Drosophila melanogaster: one gene and its partners. The protein of the gene in region 2 interacts with the protein of the main gene of each other region in a pairwise test. Each region holds a gene or a part of one and is shown on either strand. Other genes may lie near its edges.

The links.
Region 1: the proteins of CG12825 (region 2) and CG11367 interact in a two-hybrid assay, tested with the Drosophila melanogaster proteins (one large-scale study listed by BioGRID).
Region 3: the proteins of CG12825 (region 2) and CheB42b interact in a two-hybrid assay, tested with the Drosophila melanogaster proteins (one large-scale study listed by BioGRID).
Region 4: the proteins of CG12825 (region 2) and CG12511 interact in a two-hybrid assay, tested with the Drosophila melanogaster proteins (one large-scale study listed by BioGRID).

What each region holds. Positions count from the first base shown.
Region 1 is NT_037436.4:22,726,195-22,734,231, forward strand, and holds CG11367 (uncharacterized protein), read left to right. Parts: upstream 1-1,916; 5' UTR 1,917-2,216; coding exon 2,217-2,899; intron 2,900-3,571; exon of another isoform or gene 3,572-3,614; coding exon of another isoform or gene 3,615-5,219; exon of another isoform or gene 5,220-5,406; intron 5,407-5,818; exon of another isoform or gene 5,819-5,822; coding exon 5,823-5,946; exon of another isoform or gene 5,947-6,386; coding exon 6,387-6,548; exon of another isoform or gene 6,549-6,725; coding exon 6,726-6,845; 3' UTR 6,846-7,252; downstream 7,253-8,037. Other genes in the region: CG14450 (uncharacterized protein), read right to left, coding at 350-1,283, 1,338-1,522; CG32454 (uncharacterized protein), read left to right, coding at 3,615-5,219; CG11241 (uncharacterized protein), read right to left, coding at 7,260-7,394.
Region 2 is NT_033778.4:7,787,504-7,790,796, reverse strand, and holds CG12825 (uncharacterized protein), read right to left. Parts: upstream 1,592-3,293; 5' UTR 1,542-1,591; coding exon 1,439-1,541; intron 1,377-1,438; coding exon 1,297-1,376; intron 1,221-1,296; coding exon 1,085-1,220; intron 1,025-1,084; coding exon 909-1,024; 3' UTR 809-908; downstream 1-808. Other genes in the region: CG12824 (uncharacterized protein), read right to left, coding at 1-104, 161-240, 299-395; CanB2 (calcineurin B2), read right to left, coding at 3,036-3,206, 3,265-3,293.
Region 3 is NT_033778.4:6,942,494-6,945,812, forward strand, and holds CheB42b (chemosensory protein B 42b), read right to left. Parts: upstream 1,503-3,319; 5' UTR 1,494-1,502; coding exon 1,257-1,493; intron 1,191-1,256; coding exon 1,014-1,190; intron 854-1,013; coding exon 677-853; 3' UTR 603-676; downstream 1-602. Other genes in the region: CheB42c (chemosensory protein B 42c), read right to left, coding at 2,201-2,377, 2,448-2,624, 2,681-2,917.
Region 4 is NT_033779.5:5,676,811-5,679,851, forward strand, and holds CG12511 (uncharacterized protein), read left to right. Parts: upstream 1-1,771; 5' UTR 1,772-1,887; coding exon 1,888-1,915; exon of another isoform or gene 1,916-1,972; coding exon 1,973-2,340; 3' UTR 2,341-2,413; downstream 2,414-3,041.

The DNA of each region.
Region 1 (8,037 bases), on a different chromosome or scaffold from region 2:
ATACTATTACTTGTATTTAAAAATAAATTCGTTCAAACGGACAGGGCCAGCATCAAGTATTTATTTATTTTAGTTCTGCTAAATAAATATTTTTAAGACCTAATATGTGGGCAGTAATGAAAGAAAGACATGATATTTTTGATGGCGACAAATTCTAATTAGCTAAGTGGGGCCAAGCTCAAAATAATCTATGTTTATGGTATTCCATGGAAATGCAGTTGTGCCATTAGAAACTGCTCCTATTAAAACCCCTGTTAAATATTGTGCATAAAATTGTTCAACGGGTCATTATAATACAAAGTGCAAAGGCCAAAAAGAGTCGAGTTCATATTCTTACACTTGTAGCTTTTTAAGTGGCTCGACTTGGAGAGGAGTTTTTAGAGTTGCGAGATACAGATGCAATGCTTTGCGGATCTTGCTGAAGCACGAGACGAGTAAAGGCTAAGCTGAGGAGAAGTGCCTGGCCTAGAAGCTCGCGCTGGTAGCGCTCTTGTTGTGAGAATTCGAGGCGTAGGTCAGCGGGAAAGTCGATCTGTTTGTGCAGCTTCAACGGGGGCTCTGTTTCGGGGATCTGATGTTCCACGTTGTAATGGGTTCGCATCATGGCCAATATCGTATCCTCGGACGACACGCGCTCAGTACCCACCATGTGATTAAATAGTCGGGCTGAGAGAAAACGTCGCATGTAGTAGACGTTGTTCGTCTTGTTCTCGTCGCCATCTGATCGGGCCATCAAGGAGAAGCTCATGATTGCGGAAACCTGGGCCTTCTGGATGTTCACGTTCTGTTGATCGATGCTCCCTGGGTTGCTGCTGGCCTGGGCCATTTGTGGACTCTCCATGACGTAGCAATCGGCCACGGGTATCTGGTGAGATACATAGAGGCATCGGCGGGAAAGTTCTGACAAATGCAGCTTCTTGTCGTTCAGCTCATGGTGCTGCCAGTGCGTGAGCAGACAGGGAGCTTCGTTGCTTCCGATCTTTAATCGCGCCCAGCTTACACTGGTCACTCCGATGCGCACCCCTACAGCAGATACAATACGTGAACGCTGTCCCTCGTCCATGGCCGGTGTTATAAAGGGCGCGACTCGTGCAGTCTTTGGTCTATTTTCCCCTACTTGTGCGCTCCCACTGCTCGGCGGCGCAAGCAGACTCTTAAAGAACTTGGTGGTCACCTTCAGTCCGAATCCCTCCACATACAGGATGTCGCTGAGTTCCTGCAGCGGTCCGTGACGGTTCTTCCAGTTTTGCAGCTTGGTTGCCCTTGCCTTGGTTATGTCGTAGCTGGGCGGGATAATCAGTATTTGTGCAAGGCAAAGTGCAGGAGTGGCTACCTACTTGGCTATCTGATTCATGCTGCTTTCATTAATCGTCTTCAAGATCTTCAAACGATCTGCATCCGAGTAGGCGGGCAAGAGGCCGATGGCTTGGTCACATTCCGGCTGACCCGATCTGTGTTGCTGCGTGGACGAAAGTCTTAGGCATTTTGTCGTTACGCCCAACAATGATCGCCGGCACAACATATTTTCCAGTATATGATTTATATTTGTTGTTACTTAATTTGATATCGTCTATACAGCTGTTCGGTTAGTGGGACCAAGCTCATTTTTTCAGTTTTTCTAATTAATCGATATACAATGCTACACCATCGACGGCTACAAACAATTTATAGCAACTAATTGTTAAGTGAAAAAGATGAGAGAAAAGGCATGTATTTCACACAGCAATCATTATACATTTTAGGTAAAACTACAAAGGAAATAATTTATAAATATAATATAAATCACATTATTAATTAATTTTTAAAGAAGAAGAAACTGGAGCAGTCCGTATAGTATGGCTAAAGAAAAATGCTAAAATCGCAGCACTGCACGCTCTCTGTCCTCTCACATTCTCTTTCACTCTCGCTGCGGGAACTCGAAGTTCCAGTCGGAACGTCAACGTCGAGTGGGCAGTCGTACGTCGATTGTTGAGCGGCTGTGGCACATATATAAACAATAAATACAATTCGTAATTTTAATTGAATTAAGACAATAACAACAACGGTTTCTGGGACTCGGTTGCCTTGCCATATGTGACACAAAGCACACACATGCGACCGTAAACTCAGAACTCTGTATTTGCGCGAATGTGGGTGCATAAAAGTGAAATTTCACAGCGACAAGTGGAAAAGAAAACGGAGAAAGGCAGAGCTGTGGCCAAAAGAAAATCCTGGTCATGTCATGCAACAATAACAACAACTATAAAAACAAAACCACGTACGGCTATTCGAACAACAATGATACCAACTGCATCATGCAGAAGCCAGTGCCCGCCTCCACCGCACCCGCCTTCCCTCAGCTGATCCAGGCCAGCTGTTCCAACGCCGTGGAGGTGGATCCACCAGACAGCATTGTGGGGGCTGCCGGCAACTCCGAAGCTCTCTTCGCCGCCCAGCGCACACCGGACACGTCGGAGGACAGCGAATGTGACCCGTTTCTAGCCAGTCGGAGAGCTACCCGCTCCTCCGCCACCACCTCTGTGCTACACAACCGGAAGCGCAACTCGTGTTGGGGACGAGCCCACAGCTTTCTCACCCGCAACTGGTACCTGGGCTGCTTAGTGCCCGCCACCATTCTAGGCGCCCTCGTCTTCATCGGATGGGCGACGCGGGACTATGCTCGCCAATTGCTCTTTTGGATCGAAATGCAGAACGCCTGGATAACATTTGCCGTCTACATGGGGCTCTTCGCTCTTGTCAGCTTCCCCGTGGTGGTGGGCTACTTCGTTCTGCTCATCACCGCCGGTTACCTGTTCGGCTGCCTGCGCGGTTGGGTCACCGTGATCCTGGGCGCCAATATCGGCATAGCCGTGGCCCATGCCACCATTCGCAGCTGCCGGCACCGCATTCCCGTCCAAAGGTGAGTTGCGCGTCTGGTGACACTTCATCGACTTCTTAAAATCATATATTTATGCGTCTTTAGTTTAAAACTGCTTCGATATTCCAGAAACTAATTTGTGCACTTTTACACGTCATAAGCGGCATAAAGCGTAAAATTTAAAAAGCTAAAAATCGAAGCTCCGTTGAAAATACAGAGTTTATTTATCTGTTCGTTGAGTAGTGTTAAATACTACGCATACAAATCCCCAACTGTTGAAAATTAGGTGTACTATCTTCTAAAGTCATGCGCTTTGCTCTTGTAGGTACACTCCGTTGAAAATAATTAATTGTGTCTATGTATCCTTGATAAAGATCTCCAACCGATTCCATTTGTCCGTTTGTCTGTTGTGATTTAACAAACTAATCCGCGCAATTTGGTTTTAAGTCATTGCCGCGATCACAAACGCAGTAACCTGTTCTACACTTCTTAAAAAATATTTCAGTTTTTAAATAATAAATTCATCTCTCCAATAATCAAGAAACAGTGGTCACGCACAAAACGTTAATATTTTTAATACTTTTAAGCGGAAAACTGATCTTTGTATTGACAAGTGCTACAGAGTCCATATGCCCATTTTACGAGTAGTACATATTTAAATTTATTGCGATCAGGGAACCCTATCTTCCATAAGTCTCGCTTTCTTGTATCTAGCCCTTATATTACCCATTGCTCTGTGTGCTTTTTGTATTCTCCAATGCTGCGGTTTCTTCGAAATTTTAAGTATTATGCCTGGCAAGAGGTGCGTCGCGGTTGTTCCGTAGTGGCCCCACCGGATAGGAGTGATGTGCTTCTGGTGCTGCCAACGGTCTGGCCCTCCGAGCTTACCAAGAGGATCCGCCCGCTCTCAGTGCCCGACCTGATCGAGAAGTTCTCCTGCGATGCCCCTGGCGGACAGTTCGCCACAATGTCCGAGTACCTGCGCAGCGATCCACGGCCCGACGGAGTTCTCCTGCCGGATGAAATTGATCTGCACCGAAAAATGTCCCTGGACGACCTTAATTCTTATATGCACGCGAAGGACGCATTCAAAGAGCCGCACAGGAAAAACCGCATATTTTCGCACGTTCTTGTGGTGGCCGGAGCTGACTCAGCTCGGAGTTACCCCTTTCGGCAGAGGCCTGACTTCCTCTATCTTTGCGACTGCTTGAGACCAGGGGCAGCATTGGTTCTCACCCGCAGCCGAAAGCGAAATACTGGCGCGTTGCTCTTTCTTTCCCAGGATGTGGACTCCCAGCTGTCCACCATTTTTAGCCATATGCACTACGTGGACGACGTTCTGCCCCTCGCAATGCTTAAGAAAAGTTTACTCTGGCTGTTAAGGGATCACTCGCCCGAGCTATGGCACTTCTACGACCCATCGAGTCCTGTCAGTTGTATAGTGCAAGAGGTGGCTAATGAAGCCAAGATTCCTATGGGCAATCCCCGATACATCCTCCAGTACACACGCACCGTCAAGACCTCGCGGGAGCTGAGAGCCCTGCGTCGGGCTAACGCCACCGCTGCGGACTCCATGGCGGAGGTAATCGCACAGCATCATCAGATTCCTCAGGAGCTGGCCGCTTCATTTGACTACAAGTGCCGTTTGCGCCACGCTCGTCCCGACGTGACAAAAACTTCGTGCGGATTGGATGGCAATGGGCTGTGGCAGATGGACGCTGGATGTCAGTACGGAGGCTACGAGGGGGGACTGGCCAGATGCTGGCCCAGCTCGGGGCGATTCACGCCGCCCCAGAAAATGATTTATGGTGCGCTGTTGGACATGCGTCGGGATCTGTGCTCGTTGATACAGTACGCAGGATGTGAGGGTGCCGTCCGCACACCTCTGGAACTGCACGCCGCCTATTTAATCCTTCTGGCTCGGCACCTAAGGGAGCTCCGCGTGTTGCCTAAGGGTGTCAGCAGTGCAGCCGAGACAGTGGAGTTGGCTCGCAAGTACAACTGCTCCCCAGTCGTGGTCTCGCACGTGGGTCTGGGAAAGCGAGACACCAGTCGCAGACTCCTTGACTATCCCTTCGCTCCCGGAAACGTGATGTCGCTGCGGCTGTCAATCTCTATTCCCGATGACTGCTGCCAGGCCTACCCCGAGTTCCGGGGCATTCTTTGTCAGCTTGGCGACACCCTGCACGTCCGGGATGATTACTCCGTGGATCTACTTACCGCCGCCTGCCCCAGCGAGCCCCAGGACATAGAAGTCTGTCTACCTGCAAGCCGAACCAGATCGCATAGATTGCGGAATGACGGTGATCAAAGTGGATCTTGTGACACACGACAATTGCAAAGCCACGGTGACGGCGACTGAGCAAATACATTTGCCCAAGGAATATCTGATAAGGGCAGTTATTCCGCAAAATCGATATCGCGTATCCACATCGCCGGTACATATAAATGTGTTGTATGTTTTGTATATAGGTACTAAACGCTCATTTGTCATTAAACCCGTTTGCAATTAAAACCCGCCTCATTGGGTAAATCCCCCTTTAACGCTCAGTCGGTTTTGATCTCCTTATCAGACATTTGTCGCGCCTGATAGCAGCAAGCTTTTAATTTCCGACAATTACTAAACTAGGTTCCAATACCCAGCGGACATAATTAATCAATTACAGAGGCTTATGAATTTTCTTTAAAAATAACACATTTATTTAACATCACATTTACCAAATAGGCACACCTAATTAAAGGTTATTTGTGTGATAGCATGAAATCAATGCCTACCAATTTTTATGAGGGAGCGTAAACTGTTTCATCGACGAACGGTGGAACTGGCTGATAGCCCCAATAATCATTTCCTGATTGTTGGATAAACTCAATTAGAGTCAGTAGTTGGGTGTAATTATGTATATATGTACATATGTATACTTAATAAATTAAGTGATGAGACCCGTTCGATTGCATCTATTTGCAGGCTGATCAAGAATGATACGGGACGAGCCATTCTTCGCGTCATTTCTGGCCCAAAGGCATTTCGAGTCGTTCTCTTTACCCGACTTACCCCCATTCCCTTCGGAGTGCAGAATGTGATATTCGGAGTAAGTGACTAGATTTTGTCAGATCTATTGTTATTCTTGAACTTGTTGTTCAGAAAAGGGCGAGTTCGAAATATCTAGATATTCTCTTATTGTTTGCCAATTTGTCACTTCAAGAATTTTATTTATTAACTTTAAGAATTCGAACGTAAAATTAAATGGAACAAATTGAAAATGGACCAAATATTCGTCACACTGACATGTAAATAAAATTTTGCAAAGCTTTGTGAATCTATATGAATAATTATTTATACTGCAATATTTAAATAGCTAATTATACGAATAATACAGAGACGGTTACGTTGTATACCTAATATATGTGCATATTCGTCAAGTTTCTATGCAGTTAAACTGAACAAAAACCAGTTTTCCTTAAAAATTAGGTGCTAAATCATGGCACGCTTAAACCATTTAGTTTCTATATCACACTATTATTTTCACAGATCAGTTCCATCAACACAAGAGACTACCATGTGGCCACGCTGATTGGTTTGCTGCCAGCCCAAACCATCAATGTTTACTTGGGTTCCACGCTAAGGTCCATGCATGAAGTGCTCAGTGATAACGATACCAAACTGACGGGGTATATCAGCTTCCTGTTTGAGGTATGTTCGCTTTGGATCGCAATTGACCTCTTCTTAGATCATATGCCTAATAGTTTTTGAGTTTGTACATTTGAATTGCTTCATTATTGCTGTTTAATAAGTCCACAAGCTCTTTGTTTAATTATCTTGTTTTATCTTAAGTTATTTAATCCACAATGTGTCTTTTGTGTCTTTAAGGTAATTTGCGGCGTGGCCTTGATGTTCTGGGTATTGCAGAAGGCCAGAAAGGAGCTGTCTGAGACGTTGCTGAGCGCTGATTACAATAACGAGGGCAAGCATCCCGACGTACAAGTTTAACAGGAGCCACTTGGGGAACGGAGTCCTACAGGACCCCCAGCCAAAGAGAATCTCCTGGACTTTAACAGAAGACTGCGTTTTTGCATTACCTAGTTCAAACTAAGGCGGTTTTCGAGTTGTTTTATTTATTTATGCTCAAGGCAATGCCATTGAAACCAAACATTAAGCTAGCCTTAGCAGATACGGATTCAAATCACACTCGTTCCCTAAAACTGTATGAGGGTGTGTCATGCTTCACATCACACATTACTTCTAAGAATTCCTGAGATGTACATTTATAAATAAGTCAAAGCCTCGCTCAAAGACCGCTAGCTCGAAGACTCGATTGTTGGTCATAATGCTGCTCTATAATGTTGTTCAATTATTAGTTTGTAAGCGAATAAGCAAATAAATGAGCTCTAAAGTACAACTTTTCTACATCATCATTGTGCTGTTTCTCCAACTGCGAGGGCTCTTGCTCATATGAAATTTAAACGCTTCCTCCAGTGTCTCCAGGGCAAATTCCACGTCTTCGGCACAAAGACACAGTGGCGGTCTCATGCTCAGCACCTGAAGAGAAGAGGAAACTTCAAATAATGCGAAAATTATTATTATATTAATGACCCTCCGTCCTACAGTGTAGCATCAAAAAATGTAATCTGGAAATTTTACATTTCATGGGATCTTTTTACTGGTCAAGGCCAGGTACTAAATTTAAAACTGAAACAACAATTGTTGTTCTAAAAGATTGTGCTTTAGGAATAACTTGTAAGGTAATTGTCAAATAATGTTCGTGCGCTTAAACTTTTGAAAATCTACATTGGTACCCAATTTTTACACGTTTAATACGTGCTATATATGTAGTGCATACTTTCAGTCATTTTGTATTTAATGCTTATGTTGTGTCAAAATTTTATATGTATATCCTGCTACCAATAATTTATCCTTTTCGAACCGTCCAAGATGCTAGAATTTGCATTTTCAAAAAGATAGAGCTTGGGAATGTCTTCTGATTTCTATATAAATAAATGGTTATACCGATTTTTAAGATAAGTGGGTGAGTACATTTAGAATGGTGCGTATGCTGATCGTAGATTATAGCCATATTCCGAGCTTAGGGTTGCCAAGTAAATTACAATTTGGAATCGAAGTGCTGAGGATTATTTTTTTTTTTCATGTGCAAATATCAACTTGAATCATAAAAGTGTACACG
Region 2 (3,293 bases):
ATTAACCAATCGCCCATGGCCAGCAGCACAATGGATGAGTAACCCATTAAGTAGAGGAACATGGCGGTTGTGATCATCCAGGGCACGAAGAGCTTGTGCCTCTCCTGCGATGAGAGAATGTGGGTGAAAAATTGGAAGTTGCATTGGGAGTATGGCCGACCTTGATGGCTCCGCCGATGAGTACTGCGCTGCTGATAATCTGCATGGACGCTATGTGAACTCCAAATGCGTAGGATAATTCTGCGGGGAAACTGGTATTAGATGTGCTGGCTCTTGAACTTTGACCCCCGTTCAGTACCCCTCAAGTTGGCGAATATGATGAGGTAGGCGATCGCAAGGCAGATCGATGCAGCCCCGGAGCAAATAATGCCCGCCTTGGAGTCCGGTTTCCACATTTCCAACTCCTCGATGGGCGTTTTGTTCGCAAATGATCCATTGTTCCATTACTAAAAAGCTTTTTTTAATACTTATCTAATCAGCCATTGCTTTATATACAACGCATATACATAAAAGCCTTTGTGGGATATATAGGCACCGCAAAAGGGATAATAAAATTGTGCATCATAGAAAACAAGCTTTGCTAAAAGCCAAATGATAAAAGTAAAAAAAAAACAGAATTACCTTTGTCAGAGATAACAGAGATGTGAGCTGGAAACGAAATTTCGCAGAAAAAAGATAACAAATATATTTTCAGAGCACACTGAAAATAATAGTTCACAAAAGTGATTGCCTTAAAGTTTATAGTTCCCATTGCAAATTGTAATAAACTTTAGAAAAGTTTAAATTTACACCGATTTCTTGTGGGTTTGTTTCGTTTGAATAGCACTTAAAATGAGCTTTTATTTTCCAGCTATCTGATCTACCTTTAATCTTTTTTTTGTTTGTATTGAAATTGCTTATATATGTATCTATATGTGATTGATGAACTCCTTCTTGTCGGACAAGCTGGCATATGCCGGTGGCTCCTCCTTGCGCATCCTGTCGAAGGCCTTCTGCACCGAGTACAGGGCGCAGCCCAGATAGGCTGAAAGTGAAGGATTTTGGTTAATTGGCTGTCCAATCTCTGGCTGCGTTAACTCCTCACCTGTGAACGGAACGACCATCAATGGTCCGAAGATCCAAGCTGTGCCCTGGACTATCAGTGAAATGAACAGGTTCACCATCAGGTATAAAAAGAATCCTGTGGTTATCATCCACGGCACGAAGAACTTGTGCTTTTGCTGTATGCAGCAAAGAGCAGAGCAAAGAGATAAGAGATAAGAGTGTTGTGGACTGTGCACAGTGTGCCTAACTAACCTTTATGGCTCCAACGATGAGGACCACGCTTCCCAAGATCTGCAGCGCCGAAATGTGTATTCCCATCTCGTAGAGTCCATCTGAAACGAAATAGCTCTATGCATCGCAAAGATATCCAAGATTGGTATGTATATGCGCCTACATTTCCAGAAGTAATCGTCCATCAAAACCAGATAGGTTATGGCAAAGGCTATGGACAGGCAGCCCGAGCAGATGATTCCTCCTTTGGTGTCCAGCTTCCACATGTTTCCAAAATCGCAGAGTAACTTGCAGACCGCCGATTATTTCACAACTAAACTGGACGGGAGTATTCATGGTGGTGATGGGTGAGCAGGCTAGCTTTTGCCGCAGACCTTATCTAATCTCATATTGTACTGTAGCTCCTCCACCAGCGCAACAACAATTGAAGAAAACCTTTGTTGGTTAGTGTATAATTATAATTTTATTGAAGGATTCGCTTATTATTGCTTCGACTGGCCAGCTAACTGGGCAATCCATGCGGGCCTATCTATCGATGGGTTCCCAACTTGTGGCTACACCATTTTACAATGAGATACGACCTCGAGTCGATTACTTTGAATAATGCAATGGAATTTAATTGATTAGCTAACGAATTGAGAGTGGCGAGTGTGCAAAAATTTGTTAATTGTAAAATTTGTAACATGCGTTTTACTATTTGGTTTTCTTGCATCTTTAACTAGTATAATTAGGTATAAAAAAATGTTACTGCAATATCACCGCACGGCATTGCTTCATATGTATGTTTTGATGTATAATAACTATTCGATTTTCAGTTAACTCGCGTTATAAACTGCAAAATGTAGCGTATTTTAGAAAACGTTCGAGGCGTTCTACGTTCTGCGTGAGAATCGTTGATTAATTTGAGTTAAGTGGCGTTAGAAATTGGTTAAGATAGACTTAAGAAACTTGGCAAACGTCGCCTTCCTCTGGTGTTATCAAGTTAGTCAAGATATATAAAAATACGTTACGTAGGTTATAACATTCGATTAGTACAAGTAGGTATGTATAAATATATAAAAAGTACACAACGTGTAAATAAGACTAAGTCAATAGAGGAGACCTCCTTCGGGCAGGTTGCTTAGCTGCCCCGCGCATCTGTCCTTTCTCATCATAAGCACTTCATATTTCGATTTGTTGCATTTCGATTGGTTTTGTTGTTTTTTTTTTTTTTTTTTTGTTTTGTTTTTGGCAAAATCACAGGAGAATTAGAAATATAACATCAATATGATAGAGCGAAAGTGCATTCGATAGAGCATTCGTTCAACTTGGGTTGCTTTATTTGCCTTTGCTTGCACGAACTTGGATTCCGCCTTAGTTAAGTTTAGTTTTGCTTCTGGGGTTTTTGAATTCTTTAAATGTATATTTGTATAATAAATTATGACTATATATGCATTTATATATAAGTATATAGATGAATATATTTAAGAAGTAAGTAGGAGGCGCATTATTCCACTTTTCAACTTAGGATAACAACATTGCATTCGCGATTTCTCCCTAAGCCTTCGATCGCTGTACTGACTGACTGGCTGGCTGGCTGACTGACTGACTGACTAACTGAACTGGCTCGCCAAAGGCTCATAACAATATTTAACTATAGAGAATCGCCGATCAAAAATAATAACCATATGAATAGTGGTGATAGTGACAATCGAAGGATGCCGACGTGTATAAAATAAATAAATAACATCGCGTAGAAAAGGATCTGCGTTAAACCTATTTTAGACATCGACTACCATCTTCTTGTGAATGTCCGTGTTGCCGACCACAGAGCAGAACTCATCGAACGAGATCTTGCCATCCTCATCCTTATCCGCGAATCCGATCGTCTTGTCCACAATCTGCTGCAGTTGCGTGTCCTTCAGATTATTGCCTACCATCATCTTTAAAACCTTTTAGAGGGGAAACACTTCAGTGGAATGAGCTTAACGTAATGTTCGCGGGTCTTGCCTGAAACAGTTCGCCATTGGAAATGTAAC
Region 3 (3,319 bases), 840 kb from region 2:
TTGGCCAGATGTTGACTTTACCGGATTGCCCGGAGCGGCCTGCACAATCGTGCGCTGCTAATTTGCACCTAAAGACGGTCTTTGTTTCTGGCTCTTCGGTTTAGAAAGTAGAAAATTATTCGCCGGGAATATGAAATGAAAGTGTTCCGAGGCTTACCTCCCTGCCGTTTAAAAGTTTTCGCAAATCTGTAAGAAACATTTTCCGTGAATTGGCAAGAGCTTTGCAAATTGACAAATCGATTGCTGCGATTTGAATCGATCGGAACTTATGCCAATCATCATCGGGTAATCCAATAACCGACAATTGTATTTGCATATTCCCCATCCAGCAACGGCAGTCATGACCCCAAAAAAATGCAGTCAGTATACGGTTCTCCTTTGTCTGCACGTCGTTACCCGAGAAGGTACTTGCCACACGCAGCTAGCCGATATGGAAACCGCAACTTGAACTCAAGTTGCCGTCAACGCGTGCCACCAACCACAAAACAAAACGAATCAAGAAGTTAACTGATTGGGGATATGGAAGGTAAAACAAGCCCCTAAAGTTATGAGATCTGTTAAAACACGATGCAATGTTTAAATTGTTATTGAATGTAGGAATTAAGAACACTATGTTTAATATTATACAATATTGAAAAAAAAAATACACATTCAACAAAATAGTCTATTGTTCCAACTACTGCAACTTTAGTGGTTCTCCTATGATCTCCAAACAAATTGGGTTTGGGCGCGGTATATTCCTCTCATCTAGTGCGTTAAACAATATGACAAGTTTATGACGTCCTCTAAGAAGAGGTCCACGAAAATTCTCAAATTTTAGTATGAGATCGAAGGGCTCGTGTACCAGAACGGTCTGTAAGAAATCAGAATATTTTCAAAATATTGTGCAATAAAAAATGGTAGTGTCCTTTGCACACAACCATATGAATAATCTGCATCCCATATGAGAACTATTCCCATATGCTATTATATTCCACCGTATTTGGTTGTCAAATTGCTTGAACTCCACTTACATCAGGCCCTCTGAAGCACTTCTTTTCCACCTCATGGCGATTGGTTATAAACCTTGTCCAATACTTATACCAATACTGGTTCTTGTCGTACATGATGGAGCAAAAGTTCTGGGTGGCCATGCTAAAGACAGTGGGCTCCCAAGTGCCGCGGTTGAAGTGAAAAACATCAAGTCTCGCCTACACGGATGCAAGAGTTTTGATATTAGAATCGATGATTATTCCGAAGCTTGCAGTTTGTGTTACAGTAATCCGATCGGTGGGCTGCACATCCCACACGACGGTGGCGTTCCCGGATACATGAAGTATATCCCCTTTCTGGTCGATTACAATGTCGTCTAAGTTGAGTGCCTGGCGGATGTTGATGGATCCGGGAGGACCATCAGTGCACGTCGAAAATATGTCCGGATCCTCGAGCAATAATTCATAGTCTGTGGCCCAGGAACTGGTCACTCCTAATAAGAGTAGCAGCACAAATATCATGATGACCATAGAACCGAAAACTGTGAGATCCGACCCCTTTATAGCCACTGCCACAATAGAGTTTTTGATATGTTTTATTTATACACCTTTTAAAATGATGACATCTAATCATGGTATGCCATCGTACATTGATTCAACACGCAACAATGTAACAACCATCTCCTGTTAATCAGACGTTGTCAAACTCTAACAATATAATTGGCAAATCACGTTATGTGACCCTTGAAAATATTCGTGCTTAAACATTGTAAAACAAGATGTTTTAATAATAATAACTTTTGGGCTAGAAAAAAAAACAAGTTTGAAACAAAAAACAAATTCCCCAAAGATTTTCTTGGCGATCACATATCCGTGTGGGCGTGACAGTTTTGGGCGGTTTTTGGTCGTTAGAGGGTGTGGTAGAGTAGGCGTGGCAATCTTCTGAAAGTACTTCTCTATAATCTGCATCCCTTATCTTATCAATATAGCTTTTATAGCTCCCGAGATCACATACGGGCATAAGGTTGATCAAACGAAAAAAAAGGTTCGCGTCACCTGTTACACACTTTGTACCAAATCAAGTACATATATCAAGTTCAGAATAGTTGATATATTTTATTTATATTTATATTTTTAAGATTGCTTTTTATTTTCAAAATATGTAGATATTGGGTTTATATTGTTTTTTAGGTTACTGATATCGCGCCTTGAACAGATTAAGCCCTTAATTAATTTATCTTCTCGGCCTCTCCCCTGATTTCGAAGCAAATGGAATTACGGCGTGGCACATCCTTCTCATCGACCGCCTCAAAGGTGACCACAGCTTTGTAACGACCCCTGAGAGTTGCACCACGAATGTCCGTTAGACGCAGCTGCAGATCGAATGGATTGTGCATTATAACGGTCTGTAATGGAATCCCAAGGTTAAAGTCACCGCGCCAGAGATGGACTGTTTTGTTTGCAGGGAAAACTCACACCACGCGTTTTAAAACACTTCTCCATCACCTCATCGCGGTTCGAAATGTGTTTGGTCCAGTACTTAAACCACGACTGATTCTCATCAAACATTGAGGCGCAGAAGTCCGGCGTGGCCATGCTAAATACAGTCGGTTCCCAGCTGCCGCGGTTGTAATGCATTATTGCAAACCTGGCCTTAAAAGCAATTGTTTATTAATAATCTTATTTCGTATAAGGAATGCGGGCATTACGGATATGCGATCTGTGGGCTCCACATCCCAGATTGAGGTGACACTCTCGGACAGGTGAATGATGTCCATGTCCTGGTCGACTACCAGATCGCCAATATCGAAGGCATCGTGGAATCCAATCGATCCCGGCGGCGGTTCAGTGCAGGGTGAAAAGATATCAGGGTCCTCCAGCAACAGCTCGTAGTCTGCGGCCCAGGAACTAGCAAAGCCAAATACGAACAGCATGAGAGTTCTCATGATGACAATAGTATCACCTGGTGGGATGAGACCCTTTTATAGTACTTGCCATCATGATCTCTTCTATCATTGCTATCATGTCATCATGTATCCACTCGACATGCAACAAAGTTACAACCATTTTGTTTGCCAGACATTATTTTAAATCGACATTTAAAGCAAGAAGCTCACTTCAACCATAACAAGTTTCGAGGAAATCAGTGCCAATGAAAATAGTCCTTATTAAACGATCAAAACAATCATTCCTGTTAATCTTATATTTATTAAGATATATAAGCTAAATACTAAAGGTTTTAGCCATTAGCATAACAACTTGTATGCCAAATAGGCATTTAGATTGTTATACTTGTAAAAGTATAACCTTTTGTTCTTCTTGAATTCAATGCTAAAATCTTTGTAGGC
Region 4 (3,041 bases), on a different chromosome or scaffold from region 2:
AAATATGCATTGCGTATACGTATTGTTGCGCCTGCTATTTGCATCTTGCAATGATGCATTCGTTAGCTGAGTGCAGCGAAATTCAGTGTTTCTCCCAGATATGATAAAAAACTTCATACGACATTGATTCGCAAAAGAGAAGTTTGCAATAGCTTGAATATTTTGCAAGAACTCCGAATTCTGTTTCTGCTATAATGCAATATGATTATAATAAAGTACAATAACAATCTTATGTTTGATTCCGCTTTGTCTAAAGGCGAGCAAACCGAATATAAAGCAGTGGAAAACCACAGTAAACTTTTCAAGAGAAGACGCTTACAGTGCAAGGAAAAGGTATCTTTTCAATAAGGATTTGTACGTTATTCATCAATCGATACAATTTAAAGGGTGTAATTATAGGACTTTACACAGAAATTAAACAATAGTCACATCATCAAAACCAAAAAGTTAAAGTTTTTAAGTAAATATTTCATTTTCGTCGTATATGACAATATTCAAATATTTTAAAATGGAACAAGTCGAACGAAAGCATTTCCTAACCAGCTCACGTACTTAGACAAACACCTGTATTAAACAATGGACATAAAATCAGGACTTGCGGAGAAAAAAATAAGGTAAGGGGAGAAAGTTTCGAATAGCAGGATTTCTTGTGCCAACTTCACCGCCGTAAGAGAATACACCACATGGCCAACACGTTTCGCATTGATGTTGAAATTGTTACTCGGTTACTCCGCTTGTGTTGGCCCTTTTTTCGCTCAGTTGAGCTCACATTTTATGGTCAAGTTGCATTCTGTTTCATTTATATTTCATGTGTGGTTTTTATTTTCCGTTTCCTCTGGGCAAGACGATTTCACATTTTACTTTTCCTATTAATGTCAATTTAAATGTTCCAACACTTTAGTTGCTTGCAGAGAATCACCCAAGGGTGTTTACTGCCGTTGTCCGACTGAGATATTGTTTGCACAAAAGCACTTAAAGACTGCATTACTCCTCCTAGATAATCGCTCGGAAAATAGTTGAATTCCCTTTTCCGCTCGAGTCCAGTTCCGCAGTCATTTGTGGCAATTTGCGTGCTCATTGTTAATTTGATTCTCGGCTAGCGATAAACGAAAAACACCTCGACAGCTCCTGGGGCCTCAGCTATTTGGATTGGGCGTGGCTGGGCGCATAATTGAACGATAAATTAAATAAGAGCACTGGTGAGACTAAGCCCCAAAACGCATTCAATCGTTAAAGCCCGTTGCCGTTTCGGGGGTCCCAGGCAATTGAACTGTAAACTCGAACTCAGCCAACTATACCTTCAGCTGAATAGCTGGTAGCTGACAAGGCAATGAATCACTGAAAAATAAGTATTTAACAGCGATTTTAAAGTTTACGTTATGAAGTAGCTATTCAATTCTTGTACTGAGATAAAAGCAATATATTTAAAAATTATTTAAAACTGTTCCGCCTGCTTAAATCCATCATAAATTAGTGAAAAGTGACTATCGCATTACTGAGTAACCATGAAAAGTTTAATGTAAATATGTGTGGGTTGAGATTGTGTGCAGGAATGATTTGCCAGAGTTTATGACTAATTAAAAACTTTTAAAATGTGCTTTTACACCAAATTTAAGGCCATTTAATGTAAGGGTCGTCGTTTACGTAATGCCACCCCAATCTTTCATGGGCGCATTCGAACTTTGATGTTTTTGTCGGCTTAGACGTTCACGGTCTGGCGGACATTTGCCCAGTTGAGCGCAGCTGGGGAGTGTGAGAAGCGCATAGAAGGGCGCAAATCAAAGCGACAGTTGTGGCATGCTGTGAGCAACCTTTCACCATAGCTCACCCAAATTGAATGTAAAAGCACAGCATCAGGTAGAGAAGGAAGACGCAAAAACAGCTGAAATGAGTGACTTACCAGTGGTGAAGAGCAGTACGTATGTCGAATCAGCGCAGCACATCGGGCACCTGCTCTAATACCCAATCCTAGCCATGAATAGCCTTAGCCAGAGGTCGCCGTACAGCCAGATCGGGATGGGAGCTGCCGGTGGTTTTCTCACCGGCTTCGTGCTCCTCAAGGCGAGTAAGATTATGGCCGTGGCCGCTGGCGGTACCATTCTGGCGCTCGAGCTGGCATGGCAGGCGGGACTGGTCCAGCTGGATGTGCTCAAGACATTCTCACAGCTGGAACAGGATCAGTCCCGGGGGCAGCTAGAGGTCAGAGAAATATCCCTGGAGCCAGTGAATCTTAACCGCGTTCAGGAACTTGGGGATAAAGCCAGGAAGGCGTGTGCAACCAGCGGTCGTCTATGTGTGGCCTTCTTGGGCGGCTTTCTACTCGGCTTTGGATGGGCTTAAGTAATACAAATTATGATCGCAAACACACATATACACAATATTTAAGTTGATGTAAACGAAAGTTTTCACCTGTAGTGGCCTGCGGGAATACTTTTTTGCAGTTTTTGGGTGCCGGCACGCAGGGAAAGTTTCCATAACAAAAGCTTTGAACATTTTATAGAAATTCTCTTAACAAATAGCCAAGCCTCTCTTTACCGCACTCACAGACACACACACACACACACCTACATACTGTAACGTGCATTTAAAGTTTGTGCTCCGCATAAAAAGGGACCCAGCAAAAACTTCAAACTTGTAACAACATTTTCATGCGCTTTTAAGCATTTCAATTTTCCCCGCTTGCTGGTAGAAAATTTATGCATAAGCAAAGTTTTTCATAACCAAGGCAATAGCTTAGCAATGTGAAAGTGAGAGAAGTAGGTGTAGGTGTGTCCGATTTCATATGCATTGCGCGACTCGAAAAATATGTGATTAGCAAGCTAGAATCATATGCAAAAAAAATTGGAAAAAGAAAATAAACATTGACAGTTTTTCCAAGTTTATATGTGTGTATAGAAGGCCGGTCTCCAAATCAATTAAAATCATCCCTTGCGCCAGCACCGAGTGAGAATAATAAGTGAGCCTGTCACGTTTGAATAACTATTTGACATCTGGCCGAGATATTCCTTAGCTTGTTTTTCCATATATTCTGCTATGGGAAA